Linked DNA regions of Mus musculus: region 2 is reported to be linked to region 1. The links are microRNA targets in miRTarBase. Many come from high-throughput screens and were not tested one by one. Region 1 holds a microRNA gene; the other region holds the end of a gene's coding sequence.

Region 1 (4,263 bases):
AAAGCCAGGTGGTAATCAACAAGTGTCTCTCCCAAGATTAGGTTTGAAAAGGACTTGGAGGGTTTTCTAATTCACCGGAGGTCTATCCACTGTGTGTTGTAGAGGGGGGCATTCATTGTTAGGAAGGAGCTTAGAAAAGTGGAGGGGTGGAGTAGGGGGCTTTAACGTCAGTCATTTGACCTTGGGGAACACAGTTCAAATCCTTCTGAGTGTTGAAAAGGCAGAACAAGGGTCACGACCCTCATCTTTCATCCCGAGCTGGGTATGTACCCAGAGGAAAATCTAGTGCCTGCTTTTGGCCACACCTCATCAATGGGGATTCCGTGTGTCTGAAAGCAGCCTTTTTTTTTTTTTTTTTTTTTTTTTTTTTTTTTTTTTTTTTTTTTAAAATCTAGGGAAGCAGGCAGCACTGTCAGCTCAAGAGCTGTGTTTTCTGTCCCCTGCATACGATCTTCTAGGAATCCTGGATCGCCTGTTCTCTGAATAACAGCCACTTCTGGGAGATGTAACACAAATGTGTAGGGGCCTGGTTGGGGGGGGGGGGGATGCCCAGCTATCTTTAAATATAGATAGGGGCTTACTATTCCCCCCCTTTTTTTTGACAGTTTCTCTAGGTAACTCTGGGAGCCTTGGCATTCTGTAGACAAAGCTGGCCTCAAACTCAGAGATCTGCCTGTTTGCCTATGCCTCTTGAGTGTGGGATTAACTCACCACCCACCACCACCTGACCTGGCCTGAGCTTGCCATTTGGATGTCTGGTTAAACTGCACTTGAAATAAGGAGAAGATAGGTTTGGACTGGGTTAGTGGGAGAGAGAACCAGCTGGATGGCAGGTCAAATGAAGGTGATGGTCTGTGAGATTTTTTTCCCCTCCAAAAATGGGGAGGGAAGTGGCTGCACTGCCCAAGGAACTGATAAGGAAATATCAACAAGATGGGGGATTTAGGGAGGGAAATTGGGAGTTAGAACCAGCAAGCCATTGCCTCACCCTCTGGAACTGAAAAAGCCAGAAGGCAGGGAGAGGGACATAGACTAGGTGAGCGTTTGGCATGGTAAGGTGTGGATGTAAACCGATCCTCAGAAGGCAGAGGCAGGAGAATGGCCACAGGTTTGAGGCCAGCCTGGTCTACATAGATAGTTTGAGGCCAGCCTGGACTGCAGAATGAGTACCTACATTAGAAAAAGGGGGGGAAAGGCAGACAGATGGGCAGACAGACAACAGAGGGAGAGAGAGAGAGAAGAAAGGAAGAAAGAAAGAAAGAAAGAAAGAAAGAAAGAAAGAAAGAAAGAAAGAAAGAAAGAAAGAAAGGACATAGGAAGGAAGGGAGGGAGGAAGGAAGGAAGTGAGCGAGCGAGCTGGGTACAGGCTGTATTCATGTGCAGTGCTGCCTGAGTAGAGAGAGTAGAGGGAGGAAGAGTCCATCCCTCACACTCCCTTGTCAGTGTGGAATAAAACCAGGCCAGTATGTCTGATTGATAGGCAGCCCAGCATCACCAAGGATACTGCTTAGGGAACTGCCCCATCATGTCTTGGCCACTGGAAGAACAGCAATAGTCTTCACAGCCTAGGAGGCATTAAGGTGACTTGAGGTGCACTTGTCAGAGGAAATTGCCCTCTTAGGTTAACAGATGTTTCCCTTAGACATAGAGGAGATAGAATGGTTCAGAGAGAAAGTAATCCAGCCTTGGAATTCAGCTGTGTGGCCTTCATCATTCCCTGAACCGCTACCCTTACTTGTGGTCTCCTGAGGACCGAATTCCAGAAGGACAATAGGCATCGCAATGGATATGCTCTGTCACTTCTTTGTCACTAAAGGAGTTCCATGTCCACTAGCCATCCCCCCACCCCGTGCCCAGGCATATATCATATGATGACATGTGCAAAAAGTATATGTGCATGTGTGTGTGTATCAAGACCAAATGAACAAACGTGTGTGTCCTGAGCTCTCACCGCATAGGAGGTCATAAGCAACATAGAAGGAAGCTACCCCCTTCCTCTTCTGCCAAGTCCGGAGATTCTGGAATGCTACACGTGGTTTGGAGGTGGGCCTGACATCCCTGAGTGTATGTGGTGAACCTGAACTTGCCCTGGGTTTCCTCATATCCATTCAGGAGTGTCAGCTGCCTCTTCGCTCAACGCTCGCTGGAGAGAGTGACCTCAAACAAAGATCCACTCAATGAAAAGAATGAAGTTCCATCTTTCTTCCTCCAGTGCCTTGGATAACCCTGGTGTTTCTCCTCTCCTCGGAAATAGGGGAGACGAGCAGAGGCAGCTATATAATTTGGGGGGCCCAATACAAAATGAAAATGTAAAATCCCTTGTTTAAAAATCATGAAGAAAGTACCATTAAAGATGCTGAAATGAAAGGTTCTCTCTTCTACAGTCTCTCTCTAGACTCTCTCTAGACTCCCTGTGGAGCTGACTGCTTGCCACTCAATGTCGTGCTAAATAAACATTATTTTATTTTCATTATTAGTGTGAATTTTGCTACTCATCTTTACATTGTGCGATGCTAGCTTTAAAGACAGATAAAAGAACATCGAGCTTGTTTGCACAATCCCAGAAATTACACAACTTGTGGTTTGTAGGCCATGCAAGCATAGGTGTTTCACTCCTACCAGGACAACGATACACCAAGTAAAATGAACATTCCTGTTTTTATGTCACTTCGTGGTAAGGGTGTCAGGCACTTGTACTCTCTGACTTGCTGTTGCGTAGGGGAAGTCTGAGAAGAAAAGTGGTATGGTTGGCATCATTGTCACCTCTCCTAAGCATGGTTTTCAGTACCCCACAAGATGGCGGCAAATACAGAGAAGGTCTGTGCTGCCTAGCTTTAGGTCAATCTGACACAAGCTATAGTCATCTGAGAGGAGGGAACCTCAACTGAGAAAATGCTTCCATAAGATCTAGCTGTAGGCAAGTCTATACAGCATTTCCTTAATTAGTGAATTGATGGGAGAAAGCCCAGACCATTGTGGGTGGTGCCACCCCTGGGCTGGTGGTCCGGTGTTCTATAAGAAAGCAGGCTGAGCAAGCCATGATGAGCAAGCCACCACCCTAACACACACACACACACACCGTGACCTCTGCATCAGCTTCTGCCTCCAGGTTCCCGCCCTGTATGAGTTTCTGTCCTGACTTCTTCCAGTGATGTGGAAGCCTTTCCTCCTCTACTCATGATGTTTTTCATCACGGCAATAGTACCCCTGACTAGGACAAGGGTCATATATGAGAAGTGCTGTGCTAGGGTTCCTCATGGCATTGGGGATGCATAGAGCTCTGTGGCTTGTCTCCTGCATTCAAAGCACCTTTCCCGTGTAAAGCACGACCTCTCAGGACTGTAAGATCCCCGTTTCATCAATCCTAGACTTAGAGTTCACCTGCCTTGAGTATGACTGAGCTTACACAGCATTCCGTGTGGGGCCCTGACAACAGACAACAGACCGGAAATACATCTCACCTGTCTCTCCCACTCGCATGCTCCACTGCCCTACAGACTTACAAGAATACAACTCCAAAGATAATTTAAGAACGCCAAAGCCACAAATCTTAGGTTCTTATGCCAAGCACTCAGCCCTGCTGAGCACAGGGCTGCACATGGTGACTACACCTGTCACATACTTTTGAAGATATCCTTGGTAGGAAGAGATGAGAATTGACTTTGATCCCGGACTGAGAGTCCAATTGCTCGTCTTTCCCCATCAAGCAAATAATTCCATCTGCAGCAGAAAACTTCACCCTACTCCATTACTGATTGGCTGGAGGACTCTTCTTCTCTAACCAAGTTCCACCCTGAAAAACCCACTACTTCCTGTAGATGTCTCAGCTTTGAAGACAGACTCCACCTGCTGATCTCTCCCTGCCCCACTGATGCCAGGCCCACTGATGGAAGTGAAGCGGCTACTCTGGTCTGTACCTGACACAAGCTTGACTCAGCCAGACTTCTTGCCCAGACGTGCCTTTGGTTTGACCACTTAAAGCAAGTAAACGGTGCTCAACATGTTCCAGGAATGACTATGCTGGTGATTTAATGCTTATTAATCATTATTGATCTCACCATCACTTTGAAGTCTAGCCAGAGATCCCCTGGCTTGGGATGACAGGTTTTCAGAAATTACTTTGGCAGTACGGTCAAAACTCATGTGGACATGAAGGAGTAGAATTTGAGGCTTAAAGGGTCCAAGGGAAGATGGTCCAAGTTACTGATGGACCTCAGTAAGAAATGATTTTTTTTCCTTCCTCCATCAACTACCCTCCTGTTT
Region 2 (4,263 bases), not on the chromosome of region 1:
CAAGGATTCACTTCTCCCCCCCCCCCCCCCCCTGAAGGGGTCAACTGTCTCTGTACAACCAGAGGAAGTCGGGAAGACAGGGCTGTGCTCACAAGAACTATCTGTAAATAAGCTGTTTGGGGGCGGGGGAGGGGTTAGGGATAGAACTGGGGTTGCAGGTGTGTGTTGGGGTGGCTCAAAACAGTGACTTAAAAATCCACCTCCTGCACAATTCAGCCCACAACAAGCCACCCAGTGAAAAAGAAGTTTGTCTCTTTAAGTGCCCATGGTATTAAGTGCTAGAGACTGAAGTCATAAAGGGAAATTAACTGAAAGCCAGAGATGCCATTACTCATTCGGGAGTAATCTATCTCTCCCAAAGTGAGGAGACAATTTGCACCCCCTGGAGATGTTTTATGCTTAAATCTTTATTCCCAGGCTAGGGCTTCTGTTCTCTTCCATCCTAAGTGGTACTGCCATTTCCTGCTAATGGCTCCTGGGAAGGGGCTGAAGTTAGAGGAGACACCTGCAGTCTCAGAGGCCTCACACCCTCCAGCCAACTCTCAAGGGGCTGGCAGGCCTTTAGAAGTGCAGTGTCAGGGGCTGGTGAGAAGGCTCAGTAGGTAAAGGCCTTCTCAAGCCTGACAACTTGAGTTTGACCCCAGGGATCCACATGGTAGGAGAGCTAACTCTAAGTTCTCTCTGACCGCCGCACGTGTATGTATCCCGTTCACCCCCACACACAGCTTGGTGACCCAAGCCTAACCTGGAGAGCCCACGTAAAGGTAGAATCAACTTCACCAAGCTGCCCTCTGATCGTCACACGTGCCACACATACATACCATGTTTATAAACACACACAATGACGCGAGTCGAAGGGACTGGGCTGAGGCATGTGGACCTGGTAGGAAAAGGGTTAGAGGGCTGGAGATGCCTCTGTACTTGGGCGCACTTGCTGGGTTCAGATCCTAGCATACACATCAGGTGTTTCAAAACTGCTTGCAACTACAGCTTCCCAGGATCCAACGTCCTCTACTGGCCTTTGTGGGTACTGAATGCACAGAGTGCACACACACACACTCACACAAAGAATCACACACACACATACACACTCACACAAAGAATCACACACACACATACACACTCACACAAAGAATCACACACACACATACACACTCACACAAAGAATCACACACACACATACACACTCACACAAAGATCACCCACACACATACACACTCACACAAAAAATCACACACACACATACACACTCACACAAAGAATCACACACACACACGCACACACAGATTAAAAATTATATTTAAAAAGGGGTCTTAAGCTACTTGTGATTTATGAAGACAAGGCTGAATGCCTTTTGGGGACACATTTCTCCTGGAGGTCACCATAGCCATATACACAATTAGTGCTCGGGGCACCAATATGACGTCTGAGTTATGTTTCTGCTTGATGGTTCTTTTCTTCCTCGGTGTTAGTTCTGAGGCAGGATTTCTTGTCATGCTGTGTGGGTGCTTCAGGATAGCTGGCCTAAGAGCGTTTTGGACAATCCCCTTTTTGTCTCCAGTTCTCATCTTGCACCTCTACATCTGGATTTTTCTTCAGTTTCTAGGGACCAAACTCAGGCTGGCCTCCAACTAACTATGTAGCAGAGCATGACCTTGAACTTGACTCTCCTGACCCCTGGCTCCAAGTGTTGGGATTACAGGCATGTGCCATGGCTGACCTGATCTACCAGCACACAATCCTTTGTATGGTAAAGGCTCAAAGTGATGAGTTCCACGCTGTTTAACCCCATCTTTCCCAGATGTATTTGACAATGGGATCTTTAAACTCTGCATATGCGGAACACACCTCAATCTACAGGAGCAAGCAAGTACCAGAAGGCAAATTCGTTTATGCTCTCTGGGATGTGGCTTCTTCCATTTGCTGTGTCCCCCCCCCGTCTCAGTCACACTGAGCTACACGGCCACGCCCTCAGGATCGCGTCTGTTTTTAGACAGTCTTCCTTGCATCCTCTGCCCCATCCAAGCATAACCACAGCATCTCTGATGCTCCCCGTTCTCTCGCAGGCACAATAAATCGCTTCCTCCTGTGTTTCCAGTGTGCTTTAGTCAAACTTCATTCACTGTATTACACGTAATTGCTCTGAGAGCCTTCCCATACCGCTGGCTTCCTCATTAATAAGTTAAATAAATCTCTGGCATGTGCTCACTTTAAAAAAAAAAAAAGCAGTTTATTTCCGACAATGTTCTCTACTGGTCTGTGCACTTCTCATGGTGGCAAGGACAGGATGCTTTCTTTCTCTGTCCTCAGCAGTGACGACTTTGCCTGTCACATAACAGGTGTTTGTTGATTGACTATGCTCTTAACCCCGGGTAGCACCTTCTCTGTAACTTAGGATAAATATGATTTAAGATCATAAGCTCAAAGTCTAAAGCCAAATATGCTCAGATAGGAAGACTTCTGCTTTGAGACAGAAGTTTCTAGTAGCAGACCCATGAGAGCTTTCTCAACATCTGTTAGAGCAGGAAAGTTAGACAAGAAAGCAGGATCATAAAAAGCCCTGGAAAATGCCACGGCTAGAGCCCATCGGACACCGTCCCCGTGCACTGCTCAGGAAGCAGCGTCCTGGCCAAGGGCACTGACTGGGGCTGCCACACTCCTGTCTACTCCAGGACCGGTTTGTTAGAGATGTGTCCAGACACACGAGCAGCAGGTTCTTGTGGACCTTTGGGATGCTCTGCTTCCAGTTACAGAGAAGTATTTGCTCCTGACAATTATAAAACGCCATTTTATTTTTTTCTTTTATTTGGGTTTTTTGAGACAGGGTTTCTCTGTGTAGTCCTGGCTGTCCTGGAACTCACTCTGTAGACCAGTCTGGCCTCAACTCAGAAATCCGCCTGCCTCTGCCTCCCAAGTGCTGGGATTAAAGGTGTGCTCCACCACTGCTCAGCTACAGAACACCATTTTCACAGGAGTGAAGAAACCTACCAACAGAGCTCCACGAAAAGGCGCACCACTGCCGTGCAAATGGACTGTATCTCCCGGATGTGTGCTTGCTGACTTACAGCAGTCACGCCTCAGAGATAAGACAGCAATAAATCCAAGTCACAAGGTTTTTGTAAAAAGGTTATCTGTTTGGATTTTTAATACAAATACAAAATGACTCAAACACCGAAAGAAATATCATACAAGCCAGTTATTCAATTTAAAAATAAAACAGAAAACAAATCCAACTAACAAATTTTAATTGACATTCCCTGTCTCCAGCCTAGATTAAAAAAAAACAGGAAATATCAATCCAATGTTTGTCCTTCTGAAGGAATCTTATTTTTCAAAGAGAAGAAAGCAATCCCTGAAATCTGGCAGGCGGTACCAGAGGCCACAGTTGTTCTGGTGAGTGTGGTACAAGTGGTTGCTGGAATACGGCCATCACCTCCAGCTGCTTGCTAATGATGGTCATCTGAGGCAGGTCAGCCCAGACACCATCGGACTCTGGCCAATTCCGCAGTCTGAGCCTCAGGGCTGGGAGCCGGGAGCCTTCCATTCCCCATCTTCACTGGATCTCACCCATGTACAGCCTCTTGTCACTGGATGCTGAGAGGACTGAGAGAGAAAGATCGAGAGGAGACAATGAAGGCTGGGGGAATCCTCGGGGCTCTAGGGCCCTGTGTCAAGAGACTATGGTGGGGCTGGCGAGATGGCCTTTGGAAGACCTCTGGAAGAGCTGCCAGGGCTTTTAATCACTGAACCGTATCTCCAACCTCCAGGCTCATTCTTTTTTTTTTTTTTTTCTTCAGACGCACCAGAAAAGATCTCATTACAGATGGTTGTGCCACCATGTGGTTGCTGGGAATTGAACTTAAGACCCCTGGGAGAGCAGTCAGTGCTCTTAACCGCTGAGCCATCTCTCCAGCCCCCAGGCTCATTCTTAATAAACTGACTCTCCCTGAGGTCCCCTCCTGTGGTTTAAGTGTTGGGTTCACATCTGAAGAGCCTAGGATTTGGGAGGCTGAGGTAGGAGGATTACTCAAGTGAGGCCAGCATGGACAGATAGTGAGCATCAGCTAAGACTACATAGTGAGACCCCAGCTGCAGAAAAAGACTTTCAGTTTGGCTTAGCAATGGTGGTGCACATCTTTAATCTCAGCACTTGGGAAGCAGAGGCAGGAAGAAAGCCAGGGCTACACCCTGGAAACTGTGTCTGGAAAAATTAAAAAGACTTCTAGTTCTATCTGAGTACTCATGTAAAAAGCAACTGTTAAG

Evidence for each region. The annotated mature microRNA mmu-miR-670-5p reads AUCCCUGAGUGUAUGUGGUGAA and lies in region 1 at 2,055-2,076, shown strand. An mRNA with a match to its seed (bases 2 to 7 or 8) in the 3' UTR can be bound and repressed. Matches are read on the target gene's strand: a 7mer-m8 pairs with bases 2 to 8, a 7mer-A1 pairs with bases 2 to 7 and ends in A, and an 8mer does both.
Region 2: the mRNA of Snrnp40 is a reported target of mmu-miR-670-5p. Seed matches in the 3' UTR shown: 7mer-m8 at 3,350-3,356 and 7mer-A1 at 3,254-3,260.

The regions. Positions count from the first base shown.
Region 1 is chr2:94,259,171-94,263,433 of GRCm38, reverse strand. Mir670 (microRNA 670) reads left to right here and starts at 2,035; the gene lies at 2,035-2,134. All of the region lies in intron 1 of Mir670hg (a long non-coding RNA gene), which reads left to right.
Region 2 is chr4:130,388,884-130,393,146 of GRCm38, reverse strand. It overlaps Snrnp40 (small nuclear ribonucleoprotein 40 (U5)), which reads right to left. Exons shown (of 10, transcript NM_025645.2): 10 at 3,114-3,603. The coding sequence ends at 3,554. Among named protein-coding and RNA genes, the nearest start is that of Snrnp40, 31 kb to the right of the region's middle.